Linked DNA regions of Mus musculus: all the other regions are reported to be linked to region 2. The links are microRNA targets in miRTarBase. Many come from high-throughput screens and were not tested one by one. Region 2 holds a microRNA gene; each other region holds the end of a gene's coding sequence.

The links. Region 2 holds the annotated microRNA mmu-miR-706 (AGAGAAACCCUGUCUCAAAAAA, at 3,636-3,657, shown strand). A microRNA usually pairs through its seed, bases 2 to 8, with sites in the 3' UTR of a target mRNA and lowers its output. Matches are read on the target gene's strand: a 7mer-m8 pairs with bases 2 to 8, a 7mer-A1 pairs with bases 2 to 7 and ends in A, and an 8mer does both.
Region 1: the mRNA of Rnd1 is a reported target of mmu-miR-706. Seed matches in the 3' UTR shown: 7mer-m8 at 3,801-3,807.
Region 3: the mRNA of Gal3st3 is a reported target of mmu-miR-706. Seed matches in the 3' UTR shown: 7mer-m8 at 2,955-2,961.
Region 4: miRTarBase lists Sox7 as a target of mmu-miR-706. Seed matches in the 3' UTR shown: 7mer-m8 at 3,220-3,226 and 8mer at 3,783-3,790.

What each region holds. Positions count from the first base shown.
Region 1 is chr15:98,665,847-98,674,012 of GRCm38, forward strand. Rnd1 (Rho family GTPase 1) reads right to left here. Exons shown (of 5, transcript NM_172612.3): 3 at 8,000-8,109; 4 at 6,665-6,799; 5 at 3,359-4,996. The coding sequence ends at 4,751. Among named protein-coding and RNA genes, the nearest start is that of Ddx23, 7.0 kb to the left of the region's middle.
Region 2 is chr6:120,029,781-120,037,946 of GRCm38, reverse strand. Mir706 (microRNA 706) reads left to right here and starts at 3,636; the gene lies at 3,636-3,719. It overlaps Wnk1 (WNK lysine deficient protein kinase 1), which reads left to right. Exons shown (of 28, transcript NM_001199084.1): 1 at 1-1,073. The coding sequence starts at 315.
Region 3 is chr19:5,305,616-5,313,781 of GRCm38, forward strand. Gal3st3 (galactose-3-O-sulfotransferase 3) reads left to right here. Exons shown (of 3, transcript NM_001024717.2): 3 at 1,109-3,124. The coding sequence ends at 2,279. Gm42064 (predicted gene, 42064) reads right to left here and starts at 1,488. Exons shown (of 2, transcript NR_166897.1): 1 at 1,305-1,488; 2 at 263-518.
Region 4 is chr14:63,946,415-63,954,580 of GRCm38, forward strand. Sox7 (SRY (sex determining region Y)-box 7) reads left to right here. Exons shown (of 2, transcript NM_011446.1): 2 at 1,341-4,318. The coding sequence ends at 2,245. Among named protein-coding and RNA genes, the nearest start is that of Sox7, 6.8 kb to the left of the region's middle.

The DNA.
Region 1 (8,166 bases), not on the chromosome of region 2:
GTGTATAGGCACAGGCTTGCCACACACATGGAGATCACATGATAACCCACAGTCTCAGTCCTTGGCTGTCTGTCATCTTGTTTCCACCTTCCATCACACTGTGAAGGTGCTGCGATTATGGACATGTAGCAAGGCAGCTTTATGTGGGTTCAGGGATTTGAACTCAGAAACTCATGTGTGCAAGGCAAGCACTTTAACCACTGAGCCACTCTCTAGCCCTCAAGATTATATTTAGTAAGGATCAAGGCCAGTTTCCTATTTAGCAACATGGCTAAAAATAAAGGGTTCGTGTAATATAGTTAACAGTGAGGCTAGGTTTGAATCCTGACTCAGTCACTAGCAGTATGATATTCTGCATATTATATACTATATATAATATAGTATATGCATATATGTGTTAGCATATTATATAACATTATTATATAACATATTATATACTATATGAATTTTATATTATATGTGATCGCATAATACATATACCATATAACATGCATATTATATAGTATATAGTATTTTTTGCATCATTTATAAAACAAAAATAATACTCCTTGCCTTACAGGATGAGCTAGAAAGGCACTTAAAAGTTATATTCTTGATGCATGCCTGTACTACCAGCACTTGTGATGTTAGAAATATCAGCCATTGGTTCAATGTTACCCTTTGCTACATAGTGAGTTCAAGACCAATATAAGCTGCATAAGACCCAGGTGGTGGTTGTGCATACCTTTAATCCCAGCAATGGAGCGGGTGCAGAGGCAGGCAGATCTCTGTGACTTCAAGGCCAATCTGGTCTACAGAGTGAACCAGGGCAGCCAGGGGGAGGTACACAAAGAAACCTTGTCTCCAAAAACCAAGAAAACAAACCAAAACCAAAACAAGACCCAGTCTCAACTCCTACCCTCTCCACAAAATAAACAACAAACAAACAAGAAAAAAGCATATTATGTTGTCAAATATAGTGTCAAGTGCCAACTCCTCAGAAGGCTGGCCTGAGAGGACCATTGAGCCCAGAGTGGGAGTCCATCCTGGGTAACAACTCAACAGGGAGCTCCCTCAGAGAGAGAGAGCTCAGAGAGCGAGATTGAAAGCAAGATGGACAAGGAGGAGGAGAAAAGACAAAAGAGAAAAGAAAACAAATTTTAAGTGTGCATTTCAAAGCTAGGCTTGGTACCCAGGCATGGTGGCACAGCCCTGGAGTCCCAGCACTTAGCAGGTAGAGACAGGAAGAGCGGCTCAAGAAATTCCTCTGGTATGTTGCAACTTGAAGCCACCCTGGGCTGCAGCAGCTGGGCATAGTGGTGTGCACATCTTTGATACCAGCCCTCAGGAGGCAGAAGTAGGCAGGTTTTTGTGACTTCTAGGTCACCTGCGCTTATATATAGTAAGACCCTGTCTCCAAAAATGTTCTAGAGTTCTACATTTGGCTGCATGGCTTGGGCACAATAATCTCTCAAGACCTCTTTGCCTGTATAGCGAAATAGGCAATCGCTCAAAAGGTTATCACAGATAATATAAAGTGCTCTGACACACGGCAACACTAAAACAAATATTAACTAGTTTTCTTTTTGAGGTTAAGTTTGCTTATTTAAAGCAGATGCATCAAACAGGGCTGAAGAAGTAGTTCAGCAATTGAAAGCACCTGCTGTTCTTGCAGAGGACCTGAGTCCAACTCCGAGTGCCCACCTAGTAAGGTAGCTCACAATAACCTGTTAACTCCAGCTCCAGGAGTTCTTATGCCTCCGGTCCCCGAGGGCGCCTGCGTTCACATGAACACATGCATGTGCGCACACATGTGCACACGCGCGCGCACGCACATACACACACTATTAAAAATAAAATGAGGGGACTGGAGAAATGGCTCAGCGGTTAAGAACACGGACTGTTCTTCCAAAGGTCCTGAGTTCAAATCCCAGCAACCACATGGTGGCTCACAACCATCCGTAACAAAATCTGATGCCCTCTTCTGGTGCTTCTGAAGGCAGCTACAGTGATCTTAAAAAAAAAGCAAGATCCTTTTAAAGGACAGAGATGCATGATAAGTTATCTTTTGGAGACAAGATCTTGCTACATCATAGGGTAGACTGGCTCCTGCCTCCGTCTCCTAAGTGCTGGGCTTCCAGGCATAAGGTATGTGATAATTTGTATATGCTTGGCCCAGTGAGTGGCACTATTTGGAGGTGTGGCCTTGGAGTAGGTGTGTCACTGTGGGCGTGGGCTTAAGACCCTCACCCTAGCTGCCTAGAAGTCAGAATTCTGCCAGCAGCCTTCAGATGAAGATGTAGAACTCTCAGCTTCTCTTGGATGCGGCCATATTCCTGCCTTGATGATAATGGACTGAACCTCTGAACCTGTAAGCCAGCCCCAGTTCAATGCTGTCTTTTATAAGACTTGCTTTGGTCATGGTGTCTGTTCACAGCAGTAAAATCCTAACTAAGGCACACCATCATACTTAGTCGTAGTAACTTTTTAAGATTTTTTTTTAAAATTTTACATATATGGGTGTTTTGTCTGCATGGGCGCCCACATGCCTGTGGTGACCATGAAGGCCAGAAAAAGGCATAAAGTTCTCTGGAGCTGCAGTTACAGATGTCAGCCACTGTGTGGATGCTGGGAACAGAACTTGAAGTGCTCTTAAACTCTGGACCATCTGCCCAGCCCCCATAATAACCTTCTATTACTTCTATGAACCTTTGAGAACAAGAGGTGCGAGTCGCTAAGGAAGAGATGTTAAAACTGAGCTACCATCAATGGATACTGGAATTGGAAAACCATCAGCAAAAGTCACCTCTCCCTGAACTCAGGAAATGGGAATCCCAGGAGCCACCCCTAGGCTTTGAACTAGTCTGTGCGGCGCCTACCCAGCAGCTTGACCCTCTATTTGAGGCGAGCTTTCTCTCTTCAGTCTCTGTAGGGTAGTGGTTTTCTTTTTTTTTTTTTTTTTTTTTTTAAATATTTATTTATTTATTTATTTATTTATTATATGTAAGTACACTGTAGCTGTCTTCAGACACTCCAGAAGAGAGTATCAGATTTTATTTCAGATGGTTATGAGCCACCATGTGGTTGCTGGGATTTGAACTCAGGATCTTTGGAAGAGCAGTCGGTGCTCTTAACCACTGAGCCATCTCACCAGCCCCCCACTGAGCCATCTCACCAGCCCCGGGTAGTGGTTTTCAACCTGTGGGTCTCGACCCCTCTGGGTTTGCCTAACAGGTATTTACATTACGATTCACAACAGTTGCACAATTAAAGTTATGAAGTGGCAGCAAAAATAACTTGATGGTTGGGGGTCAGCTCAGCATGAGGAACTGCATTAAAGGGTGGAGGCGTCGGGAAGGTTGAGAGCGCTGCTCCTAGTCCTCAGCAGGAAGTGATTTTATCCAGAGGACACTCAGCAATATCTAGAGACATTTTTGGCTGTGACAATTGAAACATGCTACTCTTATCTAGAACCGGGATGTCAGGGCATCATACCCTACATAGGACAGCCCCTTATAAACCACCATTCTCACTTCCACAGTATCAGCAGCCTGACGAGAAGGAAGCCCTACTCCAGGGCCAAGGACCTCTTTCTTGGCTTAGCAGGATGCAGGTGGGATTCAGAGAAGTAGAACAAGATGCTAGGGGACCCTGGAGACAGCCACTGTAACTCCTAGAAAGGGATCCAAGACAGCTTTTCCGCCGGGGTGTGGTGGTCCATGCCTTTAATCCCAGCACTTAGGAAGCAGAGGCAGGCAGATTTCTGAGTTAGAGGCCAGCCTGGTCTACAGAGTGAGTTCTAGGACAGCCAGGGCTATACAGAGAAACCCTGTCTCAAAAAAAACAAAACAAAACAAAACAAAACAAAACAAAAAAAAAAAAGACAGCTTTTCAGCTTTTCCCTGATCGCCATAAAAACCAAAGAACAACAACAACAAAACCCCACCAATTTCTTCATATGTTATATTTCATTAATAAATAGGTTTTCTTCTTTAAACACGGAACATAGAACAGATTGAAACACTCCCCCACCCCACCCCCAGTTCCAAAGACAAGAGTCTATAAAACAAATGCCAACTGTACCGCCCCAGGGGCAGGAAAGTCTGGTGACCCCTCCCATCAGTCCTGCCCCCACAGCACCACCACCCCCACATTCTGCAAGAGAAGGGGGTCTGGGGCTTCTCCCTTGGGCCCTGGGGACTTCAGTAAGAAGCATGTGAATGTATAATATCACCTCTCCATGATGCATGGGTTAGGCAAAAATGAGGGTTCCCTCTTAGGTCAGCCCTCGCCCTCCTGGTTTCAGTGATGGAGCGTCTGGGTTAAGCCCCGAAGGGAGCTGTCTCCAGCCTTTCACGGTCTCCAGTCCATTGCCACTTCTTTAAGGAGAAGAGAAGGGATCAAGGACCCCGCCCACCCCAAGCCTGCCTGGAAACGCTGTATGGAAAAGGCGTGATGTCGAAGGTGAGGCCAGCATGTCCCCATCTCCCCAGTACCCATCCTTCCTCTGGAGTAGGGGGACACTGGGGCAACGACCCCCTCCACAGCCTAGTGCCAGGCTTGGGGTGTGATGGTTTCTGCTTAATGTCAGGCCCTCCTGCCAAGCCTGGCATCTTCTTCAGTTCCATTCCTGTCTCCTTCTAAAGTCCTCTGTGGCCATCTGAAAAATGTCACATCCGGTGTCTTAAGCCGTCTCATCCTCCCTCTCCCCGTGCCTCTGCACCCCAAGGGAGGAAGTGGGGGGCTGTCTCCCCCGCCTCCAGCTCTGACTTCACATGATGGAACAGCTTTTGGCCTTTTCCTTCTTGAATGTAGTTGAGATGAGTTCAGAGCGACTGGGGAGGTGGAGGAGTCGCTTGGAAAGGCTTCGGACGGGGCTCTTCGGGGGCACTGGGCTAGACTTGTTCAGACACACCATGGATGCTGTCCGGAAAATGCTGTGGATGCTTGTCTCGGAAGTGAAAGCCGAGCCCTCCAGGTAGATTTCTGCGCCCAACTGCTTGGCTATCGCACAGCCCTGTGGGAGGGGTGTGGTCATGAACGCAATGCCTTAAGATGACTAAGGAACAGTGTGGCATTCTTTCCAAATATCATACATGTCCTCTCAAGTGTCTGTTCGAGCAAAACATCAGGGTTCCATGCGTCCCCCCACGACCCCACTATTGGTCTTCCCCCAGCCCCTGCCAGCATTCACAAAGGTGAAAACTAACTGCAGCCTAGAATCACCTACAACGTTTTAAAAAGCGTACTGATGCCGGGCAATGGTGGCGCACGCCTTTAATCCCAGCACTTGGGAGGCAGAGGCAGGCGAATTTCTGAGTTCGAGGCCAGCCTGGTCTACAGAGTGAGTTCCAGGATAGCCAGGGCTACACAGAGAAACCCTGTCTCGAAAAAAAAAAAAAAAAAAAAAAAAAACCAAACCAAACCAAAACATATTTCTTTCACGTGAGTGTCTGTATGTCTGTGTGGCTCACGCCACAGCATCCACGGGCAGATCATCTACGGACAGTTTGGGGAAGCCAGTTCGCTCCTCCCACCACTGGGTCTCAGGGATCAGACTCAGGTCATCAACTTAGTGGCAAGTGCCTTCCCTCCCCTTTAGCCATTCCACCAGCCCCTCATGTCAGGATGTTTAAGAGTCCCCCCCCCAACCCCCACCCCCGGGTTGGAGAGATGGCTCAGCGGTTAAGAGAACTGATTGCTCTTCCAAAGGTCCTGAGTTCAAATCCCAGCAACCACATGGTGGCTCACAACCATCTGTAATGAGATCTCATGCCCTCTTCTGGTGTGTCTGAAGACAGCTACAGTGAACTTACATATAGCAATAAATAAATCTTTTAAAAAAAAAAGAGCCCCCAGGGGGTTCTAATAAGAAATATTAACAAGCATTCTTATACTCCTGTGTGCATTAAAATTATTCCGGGGGCTGGTGAGACATCTCAGCAGAGGGAAGCAAAGATTTCCCAGCAAGCTTGACAACCTGAGTTCAATCCCAGAAACCCATGCGGCAGAAGGAGAGAACCAACTCTTGAGAGACCACACATGCACGCGGCATGTACCACTCACACAATTAAACAAGTAATTAAAAAGTATCCTCTGGTCTTGTCGTAGAAATACAGATTTCCGTGTCTTTCCTCCCAGAGTTATTTTACAGGCAGGGAACTAGGAACTCAAAATCCTAACAGTTACTTCTTTCTGTTTGTTCATTTTAATTTAGTTTTGTTTTTTGTTTTTATGGGTTTTTTGTTTTTGTTTTTGTTTTTTTTTTTTGTTTTTTTTGTTTTTTGTTTTGGTTTTTTGAGACCGAGCCAGGCTGGCCACAAACTTGGAATCCTTCTGCCACCGCCTCCTGAGTTCTGGGATTACAAACTATTACAAACTACACCCAGATCTAACAAGCATCTTTAATGAGTATGATACATATGGCTTAAAAAAAAAAAAAACCTTAAAAATGCTGGCACACACATGGGAGAGGCTCGCAGGCTAACTAACCTATGGCAGGACTCTATGTAAACAAGTTCCTGCCACCCCAACCCAGGTGACACTTTGCTATTTATAGATAGCCCCCTAATACTAATTTTATCTTGCCATAGCCTTTTCTATCCCACCTGTGCACACATGCCCGTGCCCCTCACACACACACACACACACACACACACACACACACACACACATGCACACACACCTGCTCGTAGGAGATGGGTGCCTGCTTCTGGTGGGACAGTTCCATTAGAGTGCTCAGGTCTGTTCGAAGATCTGTCTTGCAGCCAATAAGCAAAACACGTGTGCTGGGACAGTAGTCTAGGATTTCTGTTCTCCACTGAGGGTGGGAGCGAAGGGGGAGAGGAAAGAAAGTCAGTGCCTGACAGAGACCAGGAGTCCAGCTGGCACCGGCCAGCGCATTGCTCAGATTATCAGGTCCCTCCCTGCCTTCCCTCTGAGTCACAGCATCTCTGCTGCACTAATTACATCATCTTCCTGCCCATGAGGCCTTTGGTGGCACCAGTGTGCTAACCCAGGATCCTGTCCCTTCAACAGCACAGTGGCCAACAGGAACACAGGGCAAGTCTCCCTCTCCCTGCCACACAGAAAGGACATGGATCTGTCTTCTTTCCCAGTCAGAAGGCAAACAAGCCCTGAATACCTGTAGCTGGGAATGAGACAATCTCTTCCTTAAGAAGCTAGGCAAGTCCCACAGCGTTTCCCGCAACGTCTCAGTGTGGGCAGATCCTGCCACTCGGAACCAGCACTTCCTCCAGCTAACTGAGCTCTGACCTGCCTGACTCAGTGGGCCTGAGGTCACAGTCCCAGAAGATGCCTCCAGTGTGTGTGCTTCCACAAACGCACACACTAGAAGGTTCTCTGGGCCTTCAGTATCGCCCACAGACTGGCCTTTAGCATAGTAGGATAGGAGAAAGGCAGAAGGCTAAGGGGAAGGAAACCCAGGTTCAACCCAGAGCCACACAGCTAATGGTAAGGCGTCAAGCAAAACAAGTCTTTCCTGGCTGAGGGACAGGAGGATTATGGGACAAGGCCCCTTCTTGTTCTTCTAGGTAGAAAGTATACATTTATCCTCTCCTCCACTCCACCCGCAATCCTGGGTGCTGAACCCAAGGCCTTGCTTATGCTAAGGAAGCACTCCCTAACTGCAAGTCATCCGGGGCTCCGTTTGATTTTTTTCTTTTTTCTTTCTTTTTTTTTTTTTTTTTTTTTTTTTGAGACAGGGTTTCTCTGTGTAGCCCTGGCTGTCCTGGAACTCACTCTGTAGACCAGGCTGGCCTCGAACTCAGAAATCTGCCTGCCTCTGCCTCCCAAGTGCTGGGATTAAAGGTGTGCACCACCACCGCCCAGCTGATTTTTTATTTGGAGACAGGGTCTCACTAAATTCTCTGATCTCGGACTGGCTCCACAGCCCAGGGTGAACTTGAACTTGCGACCCTCCTGCTTCGACACCCCTCCCCACCCCCAGGAGCTAAGCTAAGCTCATTAGCAGACACCACCACCTCCGGCTCAGCCTCACCTTCTTGAGTGCACTGTCCATGGTCTCTGGACGGCTGATGTCAAAGCACAGCAATACCGCATCTGAGTCGCTGTAGCAGAGTGGACGAACATTGTCATAGTAAGGAGAACCTGTTGTAAGGGGAGAAGAGCTGAGAGTGAGGCTGAGAGTTACCTCCTCTGCTCTGG
Region 2 (8,166 bases):
CTCCGCTCGCTGCAGGATGGATGCGGACTGTGCGGCGCTAACCCCCGTGGCTCCGCTCCCTCCTAGCCCGCCGACGAGCCCGCCCCGTGAGCCGCAGCAGCTTCGGTGCCAGCAGCAGCAGCCGCCGCAGCAGCCGGACTCAGTGTCCCGCGTCGCCCTCGGGGCGCCTTGTCAGTGCTGAGTGGGAGTCGTCCGGTGGTTCGGAGCCCGCCGTAGGAGCGCTGCCCAGCACTTCTTGGTGGCTTCTCCGGGTCACCCTTTTCCCTTTTCATTCATAAATCCGAGCCCGCATTCTTCACTCCATCGGACCGACCATGTCTGACGGTGCCGCCGAGAAGCAAAGCGGCACTCCGGGCTTCCTTACGCCTCCGGCGCCCGTCCCCAAGAATGGCTCAAGCTCCGATTCTTCCGTGGGCGAGAAACTGGGGGCTACGGTCGCCGACTCGGGAGTTGGCAGGACGGAGGAATATCGGCGCCGCCGGCACACTATGGACAAGGACAGTCGTGGGGCGGCCGCCACCACCACCCCCACGGAGCACCGATTCTTCCGCCGAAGCGTCATCTGCGACTCCAATGCCACCGCGTTGGAGCTGCCGGGCCTCCCTCTCTCTATCCCGCAACCTAGTGTACCTGCAGTGGTGCCCCAGAGTGCTCCACCCGAACCTCACAGAGAGGAAACTTTGACCGCCACCGTTGCTTCCCAGGTGTCTCAGCAACCCTCGGCTGCTGCCTCCCCTGGGGAACAAGCCGTTGTAGGCTCGGCCACCACGACCGTCCCCAGCAGTACCAGCAAAGACCGCCCGGTGTCCCAGCCCAGCCTCGTGGGGAGCAAAGAGGAGCCACCGCCGTCCAGAAGTGGAAGTGGCAGTGGTGGCGCCAGCGCCAAAGAGGCGCAGGAGGATAGGAGCCAGCAACAGGATGATATCGAAGAGCTGGAGACCAAGGCAGTGGGAATGTCCAATGACGGTCGCTTTCTCAAATTTGACATCGAAATCGGCAGAGGCTCCTTTAAGACAGTCTACAAAGGTCTGGACACCGAAACCACTGTGGAAGTCGCCTGGTGTGAATTGCAGGTAATGCCCCACCCCCTTTTTTCTTATTCGGTCGTTTGGATCCCAAATTTGGCTCTGTTAAGCCAGTTTGTCGAGTTCACTCTTTACTTGTAATTCTCTGACTCTGAGAGGGCGGGAAGACTAGTGTCCAAAGAGGTTGAAATTGGGAGATTGTGGAGCTTGTAGTTAGTTAGGTGTTTGGAAAAGATAGGAACTATTGGTGTCAAGAAGGATTGTTATCAGCCAGGGGTAAAAAGAGTCATTTAAGTACAAACTTGTGTGTTTAATGTCAGGCAGGAGACATGGAATTATTGGAAAAGGGTTTCCCTTCGTGTTGGGGATCGAAGAAGTGGGGCCTGGACAAGTGCTTTCCCACTGAGCTAAATATATCCTCAGCCTTTGGGAATTTTTTTTTTTTCTTTTGCTTTAAGTAAATATCAAACCTTTTTTTCCTGTACACTTCATTCTCTTCTAAGCCTCTGCAATAATGAACTGCCTTGTGTGTTTCCATCTCTAAAATCTGATTGTTAGACAAGACCCTGTACTTTTAAGGAACAACTTTCTTGATAGCAGAATATCATAGCATAGTAGCTAATAAAGGCATGCCTGGAAATCCCAACTACTTACTCTATTGGTCGAGGCAGGAGAGCCTCAAGTTCAAGGCCAGTCTGGCCTGGGTAGTGAGACACTGTCTTTTTTGTTTTGTTTTGTTTTGGTTTTTTCGAGACAGGATTTTGTATAGCCCTGGCTGTCCTGGAACTCATTCTGTAGACCAGGCTGGCCTCGAACTCAGAAATTCACCTGCCTCTGCCTCCCAAGTGCTGGGATTAAAGTCTTGCACCACCATCAAAACAACCACCCAGTCCCTGATTCCCAACTCTCTTTCCCTTTAAGTGCTTTCAGAGTAGGAAGGTACAGTATATACCTACCAATATAACCACCTACAGGTGCTTAAGCCTTATGGCTAGCTGTGATCTGACACTGTTCATTAGTCTGTCTTCATCCTATTCAGTCCATAGTGAATAGTAAAAGTCCATGCAAAATTGTATAAGTGCTTTGAAAGTTGTGATAATACCATCATTGTTGTAATATCTTATAAAAGACTTTTTGTGAGTGTCCCAAAGTATAGCCCAGACTGTCCTGAATTTGTTGATCCCTCTGCCTCAGCCTCCAGAGTATTAGAATTATAAGTTAATGCCACTATGCCAGGGATATAAAAGATTTTTAAATGAAACTTCCCAAGAGTCCGAGGGATTACAGTGCTTTCTTCCTTCCTTCCTTTTTTTTTTTAATCTCAGGGAAATTTTCAGGTTATAAATAAAGTGCAGGTATATGCTAGATTAGTTTGGACTACTAATTGCTTGAATTATAGCAATAAATAAATGTTATTATATTTATTATATAAATTTATATTTATATAAATAATATAATATAATATAATATAATATAATATATATTATAGCGATAAATAAATGTTATTATAAAGCATCTATATAAATATTGGTTTGTTAGCACTTGTTCACATCCAGAAATGAGCATGTATTTGTGGTGGAAGCAGAATTTCAGCTACATCATAGATGAAAGTGCCACTACTGATTTCTTGTCAAGAAAATGGACCAAACTGAAATAGGATTGGAAAGTAACTGAAATAATCTCAGAACTTGATTTACCCAAGAATTAATAAACAGCTTGGTTTCCAAATGTCCCAAGGTCATTTGAAATGTGAAAGGAATAATGTTTGGAATTTGCTTCTATGTGGTGGTGCATGCCTTTAATCCCGACACTCGGGAGGCAGAGGCAGGCGGATTTCTGAGTTGGAGGCCAGCCTGGTCTACAAAGTGAGTTCTAGGACAGCCAGGATTATACAGAGAAACCCTGTCTCAGAAAAAAAAAAAAATGGAGTTTGCTTCTAAATATCTAGTGAAGGTGAGCAATTACCCAGCTTCAACAATTATCAGCATATGATTGTTCACTTAAAGATAGTCGATTAAGCTTTCTCTTCCACTTCTCTATATGCTTGAAATTTATTTTCACCATTGGAAATGAGTGTTCGTTTTGTTTTTATTTTAAAAATGTGAAAGAACGTTAACTCAGCATGTGGAAGCAAACATGAAACTGGCAAGTTCTTGAACATAATTCCTTGAGTTCAACACTTAAAATGGAACTTCTAAGCACATTAATGAAGTAAAATAACCAAAAAAAAAATTACCCCTTGTTAATTTTATAACTGATAAGAGTTGGAAATGTGACAAATATTTATTTATTTATTTATTTATTTATTTAATATTTTGGTTTTTTTCAAAACAGGGTTTCTCTGTATAGCCTGGCTGTCCTGGAACTCACTCTGTAGACCAGGCTGGCCTCGAACTCAGAAATCCGCCTGCCTCTGCCTCCCAAGTGCTGGAATTAAAGGCGTGTGCCACCACTGCCTGGCCGTGACAGGTATTTTTTAAAAATTACTTTTAGCCGGGTGTGGTGGCACACGCCTTTAATCCCAGCACTTGGGAAGCAGAGGCAGGTGGATTTCTGAGTTCTAGGCCAGCCTGGTCTACAGAGTGAGTTCCAGGACAGCCAGGGCTATACAGAGAAACCCTGTCTCAAAAAACAAAAAAACAAACAAAATTACTTTTAGTAGGTTTATTTTGTTTTTTGAGATGGCTTTTTTTTTCCCTTACCCTATATTGTGAAGACTCATTGTGTACTCCAAGCTGGCCTTGAATCCATGATTCTTCTGCTGTAGCTTTTGGAGTATTGGTATTACAGGACCATGCCAGACAAACTTACCTTCATTGTTTGTTTGTTTGTTTGTTTGGTAAACTTGTCAAAATATGCCTCTCCTCCTACTGGGCAGTCATACTCAATAATTTAGATGAAACTGATTTATAGGAATTTTTGTACCAAGGATCTATTACTGATCCAGGAATTCAATTCTTCAATTACATTTGTTTTATTTAATTATCTATTTATTTAAGATTTATTTATTTATTATATATAAGTACACTGTTGCTGTCTTCAGACACTCCAGAAGAGGGTGTCAGATTTCATTACAGATGGTTGTGAGCCACCATGTGGCTTTTTATAAATGTGTGCTTTTACTTTTTATTTTTATTTATTTATTTTTAAAGACTTATTTATTTTATGTGTATGAGTGCACTGTTTCTGTCTTCAGACACACCAGAAGAGGGCATCAGATCCCATTACAGATGGTTGTGAGCCACCATGTGGTTGTTGGGAATTGAACTCAGGACTTCTGGAAAGAGCTGTCAGTGTTCTTAACTGCTGAGCCATATCATTCCAGCCCATATCATTTTGTTTTAGATCAAAATATTTGGGTTCAAATTAAAGGTCAAACCTAAGGATAAGTAAAGCTTTGAAAAGAAAAGGAAAAAAAGTACCCCTTTGACATTATCTCCCTAGCAGTGTGATTTTAAGCATGTACTACCATGCTTAGCTTTAAAATTTTTAGTGTATTAAAACTAGAAGGGTTTTGGGAAATAATAGCTCATTAGGTAAGGACCCCTGCCACTAAGCCTGATGTTCAATATAGCACCCACATTGTGGAAGGAGAGAGCCAACTTGTGAAAGTTGTTTTCTGACCCCTGCACTCTTGCTGTGGCACATGTGTACCTACATAAATAGATGCAAAATTGGATAAAATCAGGCTATCTCTCCCACCTACTTGTTTGTTAAATAAGGACCTGAAATCATAGGGCATTAAGTAATTTAGCTTTGGTTAAGAAATTACAAACATTAAAATAGTTATGATATAGCAATTTGGAAGGTATTGAAGGCAATTACAAATTAGACCTGGTAGCAGAGGCCTATAATTTTAGTTATTCAATGAGGCTGAAACAGTAAGATCACAGGTTCAAGGCCTGTCTAGGCTACAGAGTAAATTTTAGGTCAGCCTGAACAACAAAATGAGACCTTAACTCAAAACTAGAGTCAGAAAGAGAAGAGAGCTGGGGATACAGTTCAATGGTAGAGTACTTTAGTGCAGTGTTAGAATATTTGTTTAATAGCTACAAAGTTCTGGGTTCAGTCCAGAAAAGGTAAAGGAAACAACTGTGGTTACTAAAATAAAACTTGCCAGCCAAATTTCTGGCATAGATATGCTCTTCAGGGCCTATCCCATCTTAAGGAGTCTTTGGCAGTTGTAGCTTCTCTGAGAGGGAGAATCATTATCTTTTATCATGTTGTTCCCAACTGGTAGGTTTCTCATGGGCAGTCACAAATCCATGCAACAACAAATTGGATTTAGTAGGCTATTTTTAAAGAGTCAAAGAGTTGAGGAGTATGTGTTGGGGGCATATAAAAGGACTTGGAGGGGAGAAATGGTGGTGGATATATTTGTGTATACATGTTAACACTCTGAAGAATCAAGAAGAATTTAAATTTTTGTTTTTTAGAAAGGCCAGGCTGTCGTGGTACATGCCTTTAGTTCCAGCACTTGGGAGGCAGTCACAGGCTGATCTTTTGAATTTGAAGCCAGCCTGGTCTACATAGTGAGTTTCCAGAAAATCCAAGACTACACAGAGAAACCTAAAAACAACTGATCAAATAAAACAAAAACAAAAACAAAACCCCAAACTACATTTGTAGTCTCAGTAGATAGCTAATTAGTAATACTAATTTCAAATGAAGTTATACTAATTCTGTGTAGAAGTGGCTGTCAGGATTTCTAAAGTTCTCTAATAAATGACAAATTTAATTTTTATCACTTCATATGGGGATCTAGACTTTGGAGGATGAATGCGTGGGGTGTACAAATTAAACTTCCTATTGTTAGGTTATTTTTAGAGTCACAGTATGTGTAGCTATCTACCAAATTGTTTTCAATAATAAATAGGTAATATTTTGATACCACAGTCTTTACAGTCTTTTTTTTTTTTTTTTTTCCAGACAGGGTTTCTCTGTGTAGCTCTGGCTGTCCTGGAACTCACTTTGTAGACCAGGCTAGCCTCGAACTCAGAAATCTGCCTGCCTCTGCCTCCCAAGTGCTGGGATTAAAGGAGTGTGCCACTACCGCCCGGCTCGATACCAGTCTTAAGTAATAACAGAAGTCTTAAAACTCTTAATTCTTTTATCAGGATCTATTAGGCAAAAAAGCACTTTAATTCAGTCAGCTGTGCTGGTGGAAACATGTTTCTAGGGAGTTTTGTAGAGTTTACACTTTGGAGGCTGGGACAGTTTGTGGGAGCGTGCTTATTAGGAAAGCATGTAGTTTGCTTTACAAAAACAAACGTAGACCTGGTAATTTACTTATTTCTGACATTTTTCTCATAAGTTGTCTCTAAATAGTGAATTTCCTTGAAGCTCTATATACTGATGATGTGTTTTTTCAGCTTTACCTAAAAAGAGAAGTAAAAGTTGTAATTTTTGTTTACACTCCAGTCCATTTAATGCCTATATCTTAAAGTTATGGTTTGAGTTCCTAACTACATGACTTTTTGGGTGGTTTTTGTTTTTTTTTGTTTTTTTTTAAAGATTTATGTATGATAGTTGTGAGCCATCATGTGGTTGCTGGGAATGAAGGCTCGCTCTGGCCTAAATATATTTATTGTTTATGTACTATAATATATCTATAATAATAATTATTTTTGTTTTTTTTTTTTTTTTTGAGACAGGGTTTCTCTGTGTAGCCTTGGCTGTCCTGGAACTCACTCTGTAGACCAGGCTGGCCTCGAACTCAGAAGTCCGCCTGCCTCTGCCTCCCAAGTGCTGAGATTAAAAGGCAATGGGCCACCACTGCCTGGCAATTTATTCTTTTTGCTAGCTTTAACTCATTGAACTGAATCATTTGATTGTTTTGGTTTTTAATTTTGAGATAAGGGCTTACTTTGTGCCTGAGGCTGACCTAGAACTCACTGTATAGCTTAGGCTGCTCAAACTCAGAAACAATTAGAAACAATATGATTTTTGCTAGGTAAGATTGGATTTAAGATGTATGTTAACTTGGCATGGTGGTGCAAACCTGTAATCCTAGCTGCAATCATTTAGCAGAGCCTGGATTTGAATGCAAGCAATATATTTTTTAGGAGGCTGAAATAGTAAGGTCTAATACAAGTTTAGGATTAGCCTGGCTACAGAATTACAGATACACTGTTCTAAACAAAACAATCCCTAAAATACATACTTAATGTTGTAGGAAATAACTGTTCTAGAGAATTGTAATTAGTTGACTTCTTAAAATGGTTCTTTTTCACAGTCTCAAGAATTTAAATTTGTCATTTTTCTGTATTTTCCTTTTATTCTGACCCAGATTAACATAGTTATTCCTAGTCTATGAACTTGGAAAGAGATTATATTATATAAAAGACAAGTGAGGCTATAATGTTAACCTGGTGACTGATTTCATTTGTTCACATTAAAAATTCAAGTGCGGGCAGGTGAGATGGCTCAGCGGTTAAGAGCGCAGACTGCTCTTCCAAAGGTCCTGAGTTCAAATCCCAGCAACCACATGGTGGCTCACAACCATCTGTAACAAAATCTGATGCTCTCTTCTGGAGTGTCTGAAGACAGCTACAGTGTACTTACATATAGTAAGTAAATAAATATTTAAAAAATTAAAAAAATAAAAAATAAATAAAAAAAGAGCTTAAAAAAATTCAAGTGCAAGATCCTGGTCATGTGAAATTTACCCTAATTCATACTTTGGTACTTCCACAACTGGGCTTCTGTATTCAGAATTTAAATCGTGTTATTTGAGATTTCTGGTAGCTTTAATTTTTTTCTTTTAGATCAGTGGTTCTCAATATCATATTTATATTATAATTCATAACAGTAGCAAAATTACAATTATGAAGTAGCAATGAAAATAATTTTATGGTTGGTTATCATAAGGAACTACATTAAAGGCTTGTGTTGGAAAGATTGAGAACCAATGTTTTAGATAATACTGATGGCAGAAGAAATGAAATAATTTCTGAAAATACTTGAAATAATAATCACTACTGCTTAGTAGATTTTTGGTATGTCAGTTTTTTTGTTTTTGTTTTTTTGAGACAGCATCTCTGTGATAACCCTAGTTGTCCTGGAACTCCCTTTATAGAACAGGCTGGGCTGGAACTCACAGGGATCTACCAGTCTCTGTGTTGGGGTTAAAGGTGTATGC
Region 3 (8,166 bases), not on the chromosome of region 2:
GAAGAGCAGTCAGTGCTCCCAACCACTGAGCCAACTCACCAGCTCTCAATCCCAGAACTCTTCAGGAGAAATGGGAGGCGGAGACTGGAGGATCAGCCAGAAGGGCACAGTCCAACAGAAACAGGAGAGTCTTAGCCTCAACGAGGTAGAAAGAAAGAACCAATTCTAAAATGGTATCCTCTGATGTCCGCCTGCTCGCCTTGGCATATGTGCACCTGCTGCACATACACACATTAAATAAATAAAGAGTAAAGAACTTAGCTGCTGAAAACAACAAACATTTATTCTCTTTCCATTTCTATAAATCATGAATCCAAATGCGGCCGAGAACTCGTGACTCCAGGTCTCTTGCAGGTTTTCAGTCAAGGTGTCTGCCAGACACACAGTCTTTTCTGAAGGACTGACTAAAAGCAATCTGAGAAAGTTCAGGTAGTTCCGCACTCTCCAGCTCTTCAAGCAGGCTGACAGTACTCGGTGCTCAGTTTCTTTGGGACCGCCTCCTTCTAATGCACATTATCCTGGAGAGAGAAACCAGTGGCCTTTCCCCACTATAAAATCAGAGACCATTCCGCATCATTTCTACCTTACTCTGTAGCATAGAGTGCATCAGTCAGTCTAGTCCCGCTCAGTGGGAAGAGACTATGTGAGGGTGTACCTGCTACTAGGAGTCATCTCCCCACCTCGCAACCCCTTTTAAACGGGATTTCATTGTGTGGTTCTGGCTAGCCTGGAACTCATTCTGGAGACCAGGCTGATCTCGAACTCACCTTGATCCACGTAGCTCTGCCTCCCACGCCATACACAACCCCAGCCCCTTATGTGTCTGTGTATGGGTGGTATTACATGCAGTGTCATCTGAGGCCAGAAGAGGGCATTGGATCCTCTGTGATTGGTGTTACAGACAACTGTGGCCACATAGGGCCTGGGGAGATGAACCTGGGTCCTCTAGAAGGGCAGCCAGTGTTCTTCACAAATAGGCAGTCTTTCCTGCCCCTGTAGAACCCATCTTAAAGGCTACCTGGCACCTGGTCTCTCCAATCATGAGAGGAAAGATCAGGCCGACTCACTTCCTTGCCTTTACGCCTCTCACACACCCTGGGCTTTGCAGGTACCCCAAGTTGTTCCCTCTGAGCTGCCCGCCTCTGCGAGAATCGCCACCTCGGGCCAAGCACATGGCCGTGGCCTTCCTGAAGACTCACAAGACAGCAGGTACTACGGTGCAGAACATCCTGTTCCGCTTCGCAGAACGCCACAACCTCACGGTGGCCCTGCCTCACCCTAGCTGCGAGCACCAGTTCTGTTACCCGCGAAACTTCTCGGCCCACTTCGTGCACCCAGCTACGAGGCCCCCGCACATGCTGGCCAGCCATCTGCGCTTCGACCGTGCAGAACTCGAGCGCCTCATGCCTCCAGACACGATCTATGTCACCATCCTGCGCGAACCCGCGGCCATGTTCGAGTCGCTTTTCAGCTACTACAACCAGTACTGCCCGGCCTTCAGGCGCGTGCCCAATGCGTCGCTCGAGACTTTCCTGCGCGCACCCGAGGCCTACTACCGTCCAGGCGAGCACTTCGCCATGTTTGCTCACAACACGCTGGCCTACGACCTTGGAGGCGACAATGAGCGCAGCCCTCGTGACGACGCAGCCTACCTGGCGGGCCTCATCCGCCAGGTGGAGGAGGTCTTCTCGCTCGTCATGATCGCGGAGTACTTCGACGAGTCCCTCGTGCTGCTGCGGCGTCTACTGGCCTGGGACCTGGACGACGTGCTCTACGCCAAGCTCAACGCGCGCGCTGCCTCGTCGCGCCTGGCCACCATCCCCGAGGCGCTGGCGCGGGCCGCGCGCACCTGGAACGCGCTCGATGCGGGCCTCTACGACCATTTCAACGCCACCTTCTGGCGTCGCGTGGCGCGCGCGGGCCGCGCATGCGTGGAGCGCGAAGCGCGCGAGCTGCGCGAGGCCCGCCAGCGTCTGCTGCGTCGTTGCTTTGGCGACGAGCCGGTGCTGCGACCCGCTGCCCAGATTCGTACAAAGCAGCTGCAGCCGTGGCAGCCTAGCCGCAAAGTGGACATCATGGGCTATGATCTGCCTAGCGGCGGCGCTGGCCCTACTACGGAGGCTTGCCTCAAGCTTGCTATGCCCGAGGTGCAGTACTCAAACTATCTGTTGAGGAAGCAAAAACGCCGCGGTGGTGTGCGGTCCAGGCCAGAATCTGTCCTGGATAATCCTCCCCCTCGGCCCATAAGAGCACTGCCCCGTATCCCCCAGGGTACCTGAGATCCGCCTGCCTCCAGGAACTCAGGTCTTGCTCCATTAGGGCCCTTTTATTCCCCACGGCCTTGAGCCCTGTGTCCAAATGGAGGTGCGTCTGCATCTGAGCCTGCCATCCTAGTGTCGCCCGTTCGAACCCCACTTTCTGGGATGGCATTGATGGGCCACCCACTCCTTCCCAACTTGTTGGTGACTTTGAGAAGAATCCAAGGGCGTTCTAGTACTGCCCACCCTGCCTTTTTCTGGGGACTGAGCACCCCACCTGTCATTTGGGGGTGTTGAGCCCACACTTGTGTTTAGTGGATGACCACAAGCCCCAGAGAGGGACTAAGTCCTGGGAAAATGCTGTACTTCCAGTCAGCACCTGGGCTTTTGTTCTTCCCAGGGCTGCCTAAGTCCCCTATTGTCTTCCAGGTTCTACCTTCCCTACACACACCTAAGCTGCTCCCAGACACACAGAACCAAGAATTCTTCGGTTGGGCTTTTTGTTGTTTGACTACTACTACTACTTCTTCTTCTTCTTCTTCTTCTTCTTCTTCTTCTTCTTCTTCTTCTTCTTCTTCCTCTCCTCCTCCTCCTCCTCCTCCTCCTCCTTCTCTCCTCCTCCTCCCCCTCTCCCTTCCCCTCCCCTCCCTCTTTTTCCTCTTTCCTTTTTTTTTTTTTTTTTTTTTTTGAGACAGGGTTTCTCTGTGTAGCCCTGGCTGTCCTGGAACTCACTCTGTAGACCAGGCTGGTCTAGAACTCAGAAATCCGCCTGCCTCTGCCTCCCAAGTGCTGGGATTAAAGGCATGCACCACCACTGCCCGGCCTCTTTCCTCTTTATTCTTTTTTAATAAAACAACTCTAAATTATGCAGGGTGTATGTCAATTATTGAAAGCCAGAGTCCCCAGGTTTGAGGATGAGGCAAATCTTAGTGAGATACCGTGGCTGGACCCACCCAGACTTGACCGAGTTTTCTGCTGCCTCTTCCAAAGGCCCACACCTTCCTCAATCCTTCCACCTGGCATAGCCACACAACCCATAGCATTTTGAGCTCCATCCATTTGCCAAAATTTATCTTTGTATTCAGTTCAACCATATTTCCCATCAAATGGAATGCATATGAACAAGGGAAGCAAGTCTAGAAACCATGAACAACTACAATATGGCTTTGGCAGGCTGGAAACAGGGTCATTTTCAGGTAAAGGGGTTCATAACTCCAGTTTTACCCCACACCCCTGTGAGGCCTGGACTTCACCACTGGGCATTTCCCCCCCCCCACAAGAAGATAAGACTTGGATAATAACCCGCCCCTACCCCCCCACAAGAAGATAAGACTTGGATAATAACCCGCCCCTCCCCCCCCACAAGAAGATGAGACTTGGATAATAACCCGCCCTCCCCCGTTTCCTTAGCACAGCTACATACGCTGGACTTGTCTTCTTTCTTTTTATTTATTTATTAATTATATGTAAGTGCACTGTAGCTGTCTTCAGACACTCCAGAAGAGGGCGTCAGATCTCATTACGAATGGTTGTGAGCCATCATGTGGTTGTTGGGATTTGAACTCAGGACCTTTGGAAGAGCAGGCGGCACTCTTAACCGCTGAGCCATCTCAGCAGCCCCCTGGACTTGTTTTTAATACATGGCTTCTCTGTGCAGCTCTAGCTGTTCTGGAACTCACTCACTCTGTAGACCTGAATGGCCTTGGACTCAGAGATTTGCCTGCCTCTGTCTCCTGTGTGCTGGGATTAAAGGTGCACACCACCACTGCCCTGAGAAACTCTTAACTTTTAAATAAAATCTCCCTTTTTTATTGGATATTTATTTACATTTCAAATGTTTATCCCCTTTCCCAATTCTCCCCCCCCAAACTCCTACCCCCCTCCTCCTTCTATGAGGGTGTGCCCCCACCCACCCACCCACTCCTGCCTCCCTGCCCTCAAATTCCGCTACACTGGGTCATCCAGCCTTCACGGGTCCAAGGGCCTCTCCCCCCATTGATGCCCAACAAGGCCATCCTCTGCTACATATACGGCTGTAGCCATGGGTCCCTCCATGTGTCCTCCTTACATGGTGGTTTAGACCCTGGGACTTCTGGTTGGTTGATACTGTTGTTCTTCCTGTGGGGTTGCAAACTCTTCAGCTCCTTCAATCCATTCTCTAAATAAAATCTCCCTTAAAGAATAGCAGAGAGAGCGAGGCATGGTAGTTCACGTCCCAGCACTCGGGAGGCAGAAGCAGGTGGACCAAGGCCCAAAACAACCAAACAAAAACCAGCAGAGAGGCAAGGCATGGCAGACAAAGCCTTATCCCAGCACTCGGGAGGCAGAGGCAGAGGCAGATTCGTGTTTGAATTTGAAGACAGCCTGGTCTACATAGTTCCAGGCTAGTCAGAGCTATCAATTGAGAGCTACCTTGACATATTTAGTCAAGTATGTCAATAAAACTATAGCTAACATGGTCTGCTAGGTTCCAGCTATTATTGTAGAGCTTTGCTTGAACTAGTTTGTTAGATAAGCATTCTTTTCCTCATGATGGAACTATACCTTAGGTTAAATGATGATCCAGTCATATAGCTAGAAAATACCATCAAGATTTGAACCCAGACCCTGCAGTTTCAGTATCTGCTCCCATGTGCTGTGTCTAGTGCTATTCAAAGAGAGAAGGTCACATGCCACAGGCAGACCTTCTCCCAAAAGAATGTAAAGTAAGACGCTGCTATCAGCTCTTAGGTTATTTTTCAGTGAGACAATGGTTGGCTTGTTTGGGCAAGGAAGATTGTAGCGGCTGGCTGGCAAGCTTTATGAAACTCCATCTTATTATTCTGTTTACTCTTAGTATAACAAAATATCTGTGAGTCCACAGCTTATGAAGGGAGAAATCTCTTTTGGCTCAGAGTTCTGGAGGCTCAGAGCATGGCACCAGTCTCTGCTTAGCTGGTGAGGGCCTCATGGCAGAAGGACAAGTAGGTGCACATGAAAGAGAAAGAAACAAAATAGCATGGCACACTCTCACAGAAATTAATCCAGTCCCCAAGAACAAGAACACACACCCAACCCTGTTACTTCTCACAGGCCCTTCCTGCCTCCAATCAACTCACTTAGAGGCCAAATTTCAACACAAGGTTTAGAGGGGACAAAAAGGATAAAAACCTCAGCACTGTCTGAATTTGAATGGGGCGATTTGTGTAGCACCCGCTTTGTACCAGTAGAGCTCAGAAAGAAGCAATAATTAGTGCCATGCAAAGCTGTAATTAGGTTTCTGCTGCTAAGCAGCAATAAAGAATTGTACTAGACTTGAGGCCATCTATCTAAAGACAGGTGTCCTCCAGCTCCCAGGCCCTGAAAGTGCCATTTTACCACCTCTCTTGGTCCTATACTTGCAAGGAATATCCTTCCTCCTGCCCTTGGTTGGTGTAGAAAACTCAGACATGCTTTGTATCTGCCTTGATGGGCCTCTCCTGTGCTCCTTGGCCCTTGGACATGGCCTCTTTTATATGGTTCAAATCCAGTATAAGAACAATGCTGGATTCAAAACTACCTGTGTCAAGAAGCAGGCCACATATTAGGCAGCAAACAAAATGCATCTATAAGGAACCTTGTTACAAGGCACTGGAGACCTAAGGGATTGAGCCTGTCTACTGGGTATAGCTGACACTGGAGCTACTTGGATCAAGGGTCCTAGAGTCCCTTCCTCAAGTGCACCCTCTTAAACCCGCCCTTCCCTTCCCTCAAACCTTAGCTTTCACCTCTCTCCAAAGCTTTTTGTAAAACCTTAATTGGCTTTGACTATAGAATGAAATTTAAAGGTTGCAGTTTTTTCTAACCTGGCTAGTGTCCAAGTAATTGAGATGGAGACTTATAGATTATTCAACAAGCATTAAGCACAATAATTGGGAGATATTCCCAACCCTTTATGTTATCTAGTAACTTTCCAGCCACAGGCCCAAGTTACTGCATTCAGTCTCTCCTTGGCTCACTCTGCTGTGGCTCTCTGTCCTCCTGGCAGACTCCTCCTCATGCCCAGACTTATGGCCAACATCTTTTTTTGTTTTTTCGAGACAGGGTCTCTCTGTATAGCCCTGCTGTCCTGAAACTCACTTTGTAGACCAGGCTGGCCTCGAACTCAGAAATTCACCTGCCTCTGCCTCCCAGGTGCTGGGATTAAAGGCGTGCGCCACCACTGCCCGGTGGCAGACATCTTTTTTGTCTTCCATCTTACAGCCCTTCTCTTGGATCTTTACCTGCTTCTTCTCATGACAAATCCTTCTCCTGGCTCTTCTCACTCACACCCCTGGCCAGAACCAAAAGTTCTATCTTCCTGTCTCCTCTGCCCAGTCATTGGCTGTAGAACTTTTTATTAAACAGTCAGAGATTATTGAGAAACATTCTTTATATCACACTGATACAGGGGACTCTTCAATATTCATGAAAATGCCCACATCTGGGTTGCACAGAAATCAGCACCTGAATACACGGAGCACAAGACCTCGGCATTGCTCTAGACCTGTACCCAGTGCTTCTCTTTGATCTTCTAATCGGTGATTAAAACAAACAAACAAAAAAACTCCTCCTCCCCTCAAGCTCTCTTCTGGGGCAGTCAAGGCTTTAGGTATCATCAATCCAGCCCCCAAAGACATAGCACGTTCTAGGTATGATCCAACAGTGCCCTACGTCGTCTTCTTTTTAACTCCTCCCCTATTCTCATGGAGCACTGTATCAGCCCCAGGGATTACTGGAGTGGCTCCACATCTCGGTGGGCAGTGCACCTAGAATTCTAACTGTGGTTCATGTAGTCCCAATTATAATTAGAAATGGCAGGGAGAGCGCCCTGGAGACCTAAGAGAAGAACCCCATATCCACTTCACCCTGTTCTCTCTCCAATATGCAACAGCTACTCAGAAATCACTCCCACTTTGATATTAGCATAATAGGGTTCCTGGGACAAACTGATATTATTATCCTAACTAAAGTTGGATTTCTGCCCCTACCTCTGTTACCTGCTTGGCTTTAAAAAGGCCCATCACTGAGACCTGCTCAGTATTTACTGGTGGAGGGAAGAGGGGAGCCATGGCAATAATGTACTACCCCCCCCAGGAATGAACTCCCCACTCTTTGATTCAGACAGTTGCCCCATCACTCCCCAAATATAAGAAACTACATGTAATTTATTTAGTCCTCAAGGAAGTCAATGGGCCCTTTTTTCTTTTCTTGGACAGTATATATGCTGTGAATTTGCTTCCCTGGTTATCAAGCTTCTTTGTCAAACTAGCTGAGAATCCACTATCCCCTTTTCTCATCCACATCTCCATCCTCTTACAGGAAAGGGCGTCACCCCTCTACAGCCAGCAGGTCAAATCTCACAGATCCCTACAAGGTCTAATATCTGAGCCCTCACTGAGCAAACTGCCTCTATAGGAACATTCACAGCCTCTGCTGAGCAAGCAGATCGATTTCATTCACACACGCGCGTGCATGCACGCACACACATACACACACAAAAGGGTTTCATGCCTACTTCCCCTGCGTCCCTATTGCGCAACCTCAGAGGATAATATGAGCATGCTCCTCTTGTGTGCCCTTATTACCACCCCAGCTTCACAAACTATGGTCATTAACCTCCAAAATTTTCAAATCCAGTGCCTCTTGAAAATTGATGACACCCACATTTCCCAATTCAGACACCAAAAATATATCTTTGTCACTATAGACATATAAACACATTTCATATGGGCTACAGCCCAAATGGGGGAAAGCTCAGAAAGATTAATTCACACGTGCACTCCACTTTTGCCATCATGGGCATTCCTAAGCAGATTAAACACGGACAATGACCCTGCCTTTACCAGCTCCCAATTTAAGCCTTCAGCTCACAGTGGAAGATTGCCCATCTCAAGGTGATTTCTTACAG
Region 4 (8,166 bases), not on the chromosome of region 2:
GGTGTACATACCCTGTGCTTAGCCACAAGTGTATTGTACCCAGTAGGGAGACATGCTCTCTTTCCTTACAGGGCTTATCCGGCCAGATGCCTCGTCCTCTTCACTAGAGGGTCTGAAACTTGAGGGTACATTAGAGTCATGGGAGAGCATGCTAAATTTGCAGATGCCTACCTCCGTTTTAGTCGGCAGCAGTTTAAATGGTCTGTAAGTGATCCTTGGAACTCTCTGGAGCAGGGCTGCGTTCCATTGAAAGATGGAAGTGGTGTACCAAGGTGGCTTGTGATTGCAAAGGGACAGACTGGTAGGGTATGGTGAATAGAAAACCAAGTACAAGCAGCATTTTAACACTGGTGGGGATACACAGAGAGGAGACTCCTAAAAGGGAGAACCGAGCCCTGCATTGGAAACAGCACCTGTTATAGTCAGAAAGACGGAGACCAGGGGGCAGTTAAGGAGCTTGCCTCTGTGGAAAGCTGTGGCTGAGAAACTGTCCTGCTATGGTCAGAAAGTCCTAACTCCACGAGAGAAAGTGGTAGTGCACACACATACGTGCGTGTGTCTCTGTCTCTGTTTCTCTGTCTGTCTCTGTCTCTCTGTCTCTGTCTCTCTGTCTCTCTCTGTCTCTCTCTCTGTCTCTCTCTCTCTCTCTCTCTCTCTGTGTGTGTAAATATTAGCTTCTAGGCTATTCCTATATCTTTCCATAGCAGTGTCTATTTGACCCTCAGAGGTGAGGAATAGTTATTTATGAGCCCTAATTCTCTAATTCTCTAATTACTCTCTAATTACTAATTCTCTAATCTACTTCTTGATGACACGATTGGCTGAAGCTGGGTTACCGCACTTAAGAGACATGAGAGATATACATTACTAAACAGGATGACATCCCTTCATAAGTGGCAGGGAACTTTCATTAAAACGCACAAATAAACACAACTGACCCCTAAAGGATTTAAGGACCCTAGTCAATATTACAGTCTTTAGATTTTTTTTTCTGTTGCTGATGATTAGGTCGGGTAGGACTTCCCTGGGACTCTCACGGTTTGGAATGGTTGCCACATCTGGTGGGTTGGGGTGAGATGATGATTTCTAAGCACTTTTCTCCAACATTGTGCGATGCAAACAGGAAGAGTTGGTCCAGTCCCTTCAGTGCGTGTGTGATCTGGGATGAAAAGAGCCTAGAGGCAGGCGGTGTCCTTTGTGGCTGTGAGAGGGGTCCAGTGGGTGGGGTAGGGGTCAGAGATCAGCAATGGGATGCTAAGAAGCAGGAGGCTGAAGCAGGTGCGGAGGCTGAACCAGCACTTTGGAGTCTGAGCATGCCTTTTTCTGGTTTGTGTGATCAGGAAAGTCATGGAAGGCGCTGACACTGTCCCAGAAGAGACCCTATGTGGATGAGGCAGAGCGGCTGCGCCTGCAGCACATGCAGGATTACCCCAACTACAAGTACCGGCCCCGCAGGAAGAAACAAGGCAAGCGCCTCTGCAAGCGCGTGGACCCTGGCTTCCTCCTCAGCTCCCTCTCTCGTGACCAGAACACGCTGCCTGAGAAAAACGGCATTGGCAGGGGGGAGAAGGAGGACAGGGGTGAGTACTCCCCAGGGGCCACCTTGCCTGGACTGCACAGCTGCTACCGCGAAGGTGCAGCTGCTGCCCCTGGCAGTGTGGACACGTATCCCTACGGGCTGCCCACACCTCCGGAGATGTCGCCCCTGGATGCGCTGGAGCCAGAGCAGACCTTCTTCTCGTCCTCATGTCAGGAGGAGCATGGTCACCCCCATCACCTCCCCCATCTACCAGGGCCCCCTTACTCACCGGAGTTCACACCTAGTCCCCTCCACTGCAGCCACCCTCTAGGTTCTTTAGCCCTTGGCCAATCCCCAGGGGTTTCTATGATGTCCTCTGTTTCTGGATGTCCCCCATCTCCAGCCTATTACTCCCATGCCACCTACCACCCTCTCCACCCCAACCTCCAGGCCCACCTGGGCCAGCTGTCCCCACCTCCGGAGCACCCTGGCTTTGACACCTTGGATCAGCTAAGCCAGGTGGAACTTCTGGGAGACATGGATCGCAATGAATTTGATCAGTATTTGAACACTCCCGGCCACCCTGACTCTGCTGCAGGGGTTGGAACCCTCACTGGGCATGTCCCGCTCTCCCAGGGGACTCCCACAGGCCCTACAGAGACCAGCCTCATCTCAGTCCTGGCTGATGCCACGGCCACGTATTACAACAGCTACAGTGTGTCATAGAGCTGGAGGAATGGAGCCTGGCCCAGCCCTGCCATCCCCTCCTCCCTATGAAGCACTGAGCTGAGCAGAAACTGTGGCGATGCCACTCCTTGGTGGCAAGAGGTCAAAACTGCTGTTCCAGAGCCTTCCGGTCAAAAGCCAGGATCCAGCGCTCCTTCTGTCCCTTTAAATGTGTTTTGTCGGCTTCATCAAGGAAGCACAGCCTTGGGAGCTGTTTGCAGTAGGATTTCCTAGCCGCTCTACACCATCAGTGTAGCTGATGGGAAGAAGCCCAGTGCATTGGAGCTCCTGCTTTTGGTGTAGCTACTTCTGATCTGTGGTGCTCCCAGTAAGATGGACCCTGGGCCTGGGGTCCATCTCAGTTCAGTCTCTAACTGGCAAAACCCCACTCTGGCTTGACCAGCCCTGACTATTCTCTCCTGTACAGTGAGGGTTGGCTTCATAGCCAAGCCCTCGCTCTATGGATCTCCAAGTTACAGCCCTCTCAAGGCCAAGGAAAGTATGAATGAATGACTGCCCAAGGACCCAGGTTTTCTGCTTTCCTATAATACTGTCCACAGCCACCCTAGAATTCCAAAGAAACTCCTTCAGTCGAGAAAAATATTCACCTTTGGTCTGGCAAGATGGTGTGGGATGTCTCAGTGGGTAAGACTGCCTGCTGCCAAGTCTGATGACCTACGTTCTATATCCGGAGCCTACATGGTGGAAGAAGAGAACTGACTCCTGCAAGTTGTATTCTGACTTCCAAATGCACGTGTGCCCCTGCATTATATGTGTGCTTGAGCATGCTCACATGCACACACACACACACACACACACTAAATGTAATTTTTTTAAAGGAAAAGATCTACCCTGGTTCGGAAAATTAATGAGTATGTTCAACTGCATCACTGAAAGCAAAATCAGATTAGAACTTGTTTTGTTTTGTTTTGTTTTGTTTTGTTTTGTTTTGTTTTGTTTTGTTCTGAGACAGGGTTTCTCTGTGTAACCCTGGCTGCCCTGGAACTCACTGTGTAGACCAGGCTGGCCTCAACCTCAAAAGTAAGCCTGCCTCTGCCTCCTGGGTACTGGGATTAAAGGTGAGTGGCACCACACCCAGCCTGGATTTTTTTTTAATATATACTTTAGATACATTATTTTTGTTACATACATCTCAGGCGACTACAGTGTGAGAAATGACCTTATGCAGGCATGCCTATTCCCAACACTGTGCCCCAGGTGTGTACCCTGATTTAGATTCTTCTCAACTGTGACAATGTCTCATCCCCTCATCACAGAATGAACCAGAGAGCTAGAAACCTAAAACGTCTGTCCACAAAAGTGTTGGGGTGTGCTGATTTCTAGAGCAGAGCTGTAGCATACTCTTATCTACAGATGCAAAAGATGACTCTCTGCCCAATGTCTGCTGCCCCTTGCTCCCAGGAGGGCTTTTCTCTCTTCTCTGTTACTCTCCCTCCAAACTGGCCCCTAATTCAAAGGGCCCCTCGCTTGGAATCCCAGGCACCATTCCCCTGGGCGTGAAGGGAACTTGGTTCTTGTTTCTCAAGTGGATACATCAGAACAATCACCTATCCCACAGTCCTTTGGCTGTCCCAAACAAACACCCTGTGACACCCAAAGATGTTTCTGAGCTTTGGTCGCACCCCAGACATTTCCATTCTCTAAACCTCCTTTGAAGGAACATACCAAACACTGAGCTAACAGACTCTTGTCTGCCCTTGGACACGTGTATATTATTGCCTTTATGAAATGTGTTTTTATATTCTGCTATTATGTCCACCTTATATTTTGTATTGTTGACAGATCCCCAAGAAGTCTTATTATAATATCACTTATAAGATATACTTAATCTTTATGCTATTACTGTATATACCATTTGGTAACAAATAGTGAATTGTTGATGATGTAATTGACTGGTGCCCAGTCCCGGATGGATATTAATAATCTCGTGAAACACTATCACAGGCATTAAGCTACTCTGTTCCATTTTTTCAAGAAAACTAAATATGCATGGAACAGTTATGAAATTGATTTTTCAAAATGTTTAATTTAAATAAATTTTTTTGTACCTTCACCATTCTATCCTTTGAAATAGTATTTTTTTTAAATTCATACTAGGTCTCAGTGCTACCTGTAATATTGTTTGCGTTATTTTCTGAGTCGACTTTTTATTTTAAGGAGTTTTTGTTATATAGGGTTTTAAATTTCTTTATGAGTTGTGCTGAAAAGACAAACTTCGATTCTACACATTAGTGCTGTTTTTGTTGACATTGGAAAAGGAAAGCCATAGCAACCCACATGAGCAGTTTCTCCATGCCTATTCAGTAACTGCACGCTTCCCAAGTCTAAGCAAATGACCATCTTGTCCTCTCCCCTACTTGAGTGGTGTAGCAGTATGCAGTGGCCCTCTGGACTGGACAACATGCTGTCGGGGAGACAGGCACACAGCCTGGAATCAAGGTCTGAGACAGCTGGGAAAGTCCAGGATGCACGCTCAGTCAAAAAAGCTCCTGGAAAATCAGCCTGGCTCTGTCCCATGTATGGCACCTAATATGGGCTGCTCTTCATGTAAAGAAGGAACTTGTTTAAGTCAAAGGTAGCCATGCCCCTTCCCATGCTCCTCTGGGCCAACGAGGGCCCTCCTGGGTTTCTGCACATCCTTCTCTGCTGATCATAACCCACACCCATTATTCAGTAGCACTTCATTGTTGTTGGGAGTGTTAGAGAAGGTTTCTGAACTGTTTCTCATCCACAGCCCAGGTGGGCCTCATCATTCCCACCACATTACACAGCCAGGGACACTACAGTTCCGAGTGGGAGATGGCGTGAGACTCGCCACCCTCCTAGGATGTTGGCTTCAGCACCCATGAGGCGCATTCATTGGGAGCATTCATGGCTGAGGGTTTAGTGCTTCTCCTTGGTCCTGGTTTTGGTGTTGGAGATGTGGCCTCATGTTGTGGCTCAGACTGACCTGGAACTCACTAGGTAGCCCAGACTAGCCTTGGACTTGTGGAAACCCTTCTTTAGCCTCCTTGGTTCCATTCTCTGTGCCTCACTGGGGCATGGATTCAACTGCTCCTCAATCCATGACCATCTCAGGCCAGAGAAGAAGAAAGCAATTATGGGTGACAATTGAGATGACACAGAGCCGTGATGCTCTGCACCTGGCCAGTGGTGGCCATATGCAGAGAGCACTGAGGTACTATCCTTGGCTATACTGAGCTCTGAATTGGCAGTATCTGGTCAAGGTATGCCCCTTGGCACTGCCCAATGGGCATGCATCATTGTAACACACAGTGTGGTTACACTGTCCATGCCGATGAGACGACAAGAAGGCAGGAGGGTTCTCTGCTCTGAGTGGGACACTGTGGGAACCAAAGTCTCTGTGGGTCCCAGCTACCTGTGCACCCTGCCTGTGGTACTCAGGTTACAATGTGACTGATGTCATCTTACAGGATGACAAGCCATGACAGCAAGTTGTTTTTCTAAAATGCTGACGTTCCCATGTCACTCTTTGCCTTAAGATCTCTGTTCCTGTTCCTTAAGCAGTGAACAACAAAGGTGACCCACTTTGTGGCTGAGGAGCCCTGTATTTCAACTCCCACTTGCTTATGTGCAGGGCAGTCTTTATTTTCACAAATGTTGTAGAAAGGGAAACACTTGTGTTCTTTTCTCTAAGACACACCCCCACCATTACATCTCCTGCCAACTATACAAACTTCAGGCTTGTCATATCTGCCCAGTCTGAATGTTAGTTCCCCAATGGCCGATTCTCTCCTTTCCAGAAGTTTCTCTCTCAGCTTCTCTTTCCCTCTGGTGGATCTTGCTGCAAGAATACCAACCGGTCTCTGAAAATACCATCCTTTCTCATGCATCCATGTTTAACCATGCCAGCATGGAGACCCTCACACTATTGCCTGTCTAGTGATACCTCATACAATGTCCAAGTGGCAGGTCCTTAGTCTCCCATGGACCCTGGTAGCTACAGCGACTGGCCAACAATGAATTCAACTAAATTGTGTGTCCTCCATTTGCAGACCCAGAGTAGGTTTGAGAACCCCAGCTGGGTTGAGTAGTGGTGAAAGACCCCTATCCTTCTGGGTCCATCCTTGGAACTATGTCCCTAAGACCTCTGGTTCATGTGCCTCTCGGGTTCATGTGGCTGAGGTAGGCCTGCACCTGCTGCAGTGTAGAATGGAGAGATAGGTTGGAGATGGAATATGAGCCTTCCTCTTTGAATAAATAGTATTTCTGTTTTCTTCACAATGGAAAGGAGAGAGAGAAATGAAACAGGACATACCTATTCTGTCCCATTTACTTCTGTGTTGCTACGATAAAAGACTGACCAAAAGTAACTCGGGGAGAAAAAGGTTTATTTGGCTTACACTTCCACATCATAGTCCATCAAAGCAGGGACCTTGAGGCAGGAACTGAAGCAGAAGCCATGGAGGAGTGCTACTTATTGGCTTGCTTTGGGTGGATGGCTTAGTTTGCTTTCTTATACACCCTAGGACCACCTGTGCAGGGATGGTACCACCACAGAGGGCTAAGCCCTCCTACATCAATTGTTTATCAAGAAAACACCCACAGCCAATTCCTCAATTGAATTTCCCTCCTCCCAGGTGACTCTAATCTGTGTCTAGTTGACAAAAAAAACAAAACCCCACAATATCTAGCAAATGTTATCTATAATCTATCTATCTATCTATCTATCTATCTATCTATCTATCTATCTATCTATCTATCTATCTATTTATCTATCTATCTACCATCCATCCATCATCTATAATCAATCATCTATAAATTATCTATCAATAATCTATATGATATATATCATCTTTTCTTTCTTTTCCCATTTCTCTCTCACTTTATGCCTCCTTTTTTTTCTCTATTTGTTGCATTCACTCATCTGTGCACACACACACACACACACACACACACACACATTCATCCTACTTCTTGTCAGTCTGTTATCTTTCTTTTAATAATAAATATAGACTTAGTCTTTAAAGTAAATTTAGGAAAATAAAGTTAGCTCTCATCCAAAACTTAGAGCCATCACTAGTTTTTTCTTTTAATTTTTTTTTTTTACATATATCCATCTTGCTTTAAACGTTTTTGGTCTATATATTCATATGTCTTTTATAACAATTATTTTACTCTTTAATGTTAAACTTTCCCCAAATCACTGGGCTTAGTTATTCTACAAAGCTGTTTTCTTCCTGCTTGATAAAATTCTAATAAGAACATTGAGAGCCTCAGATGGACTTCATCATCCACCCATCCTGTTGTGTAGCCAGTAATACTAAGGCTGAGACAGGAGGACAAAAGATCACAAGTTTGACGCTATTTTAAACTACACAGTGAGACTCTGGGTAAAACAAGAAAAAAGGGATAAGGAGAAGGGGAAAAACAGCAGGAGAAAAGAAAAGGAGAGAGCCATAGAAAAATGGAGAAAGAAGTTGTCCCCTTGCTGTATCTACTTCCCTATGGTCGATTTTATGTGTGGCATAATCCTGTTCCATTTCCCAGCTTACACGGTTGTATGTACTATGATTGTGATCATGTGGACACACAACCCACTGGTAATAGCTTGTTCCGGTCAACACCCTAAGGTAGGAGTTGGTCAGTGACATCTATGTTTGTACTAGCCTCCTCTGTGGCTACTGACATCACAGTTTACATATTTCACTTGGCCATCCTATGACTCTCTCCATAATTGGATTGTTCAACCTGCTGACCCAGTAGCAGGATGTCATTTATAAAGGCTATACCTCAACCTTAAAACTTGCAAAAAGAATTTATTATATTTTTAAGTAGCTTTATGATTATCTGTTGGGTTGCATTTATAGCTATACTTGCTAGCATATAGGTAGCTTAGGTTAGATGTCACCTTCAGTTCCTGGTACAAAGAATCTGAG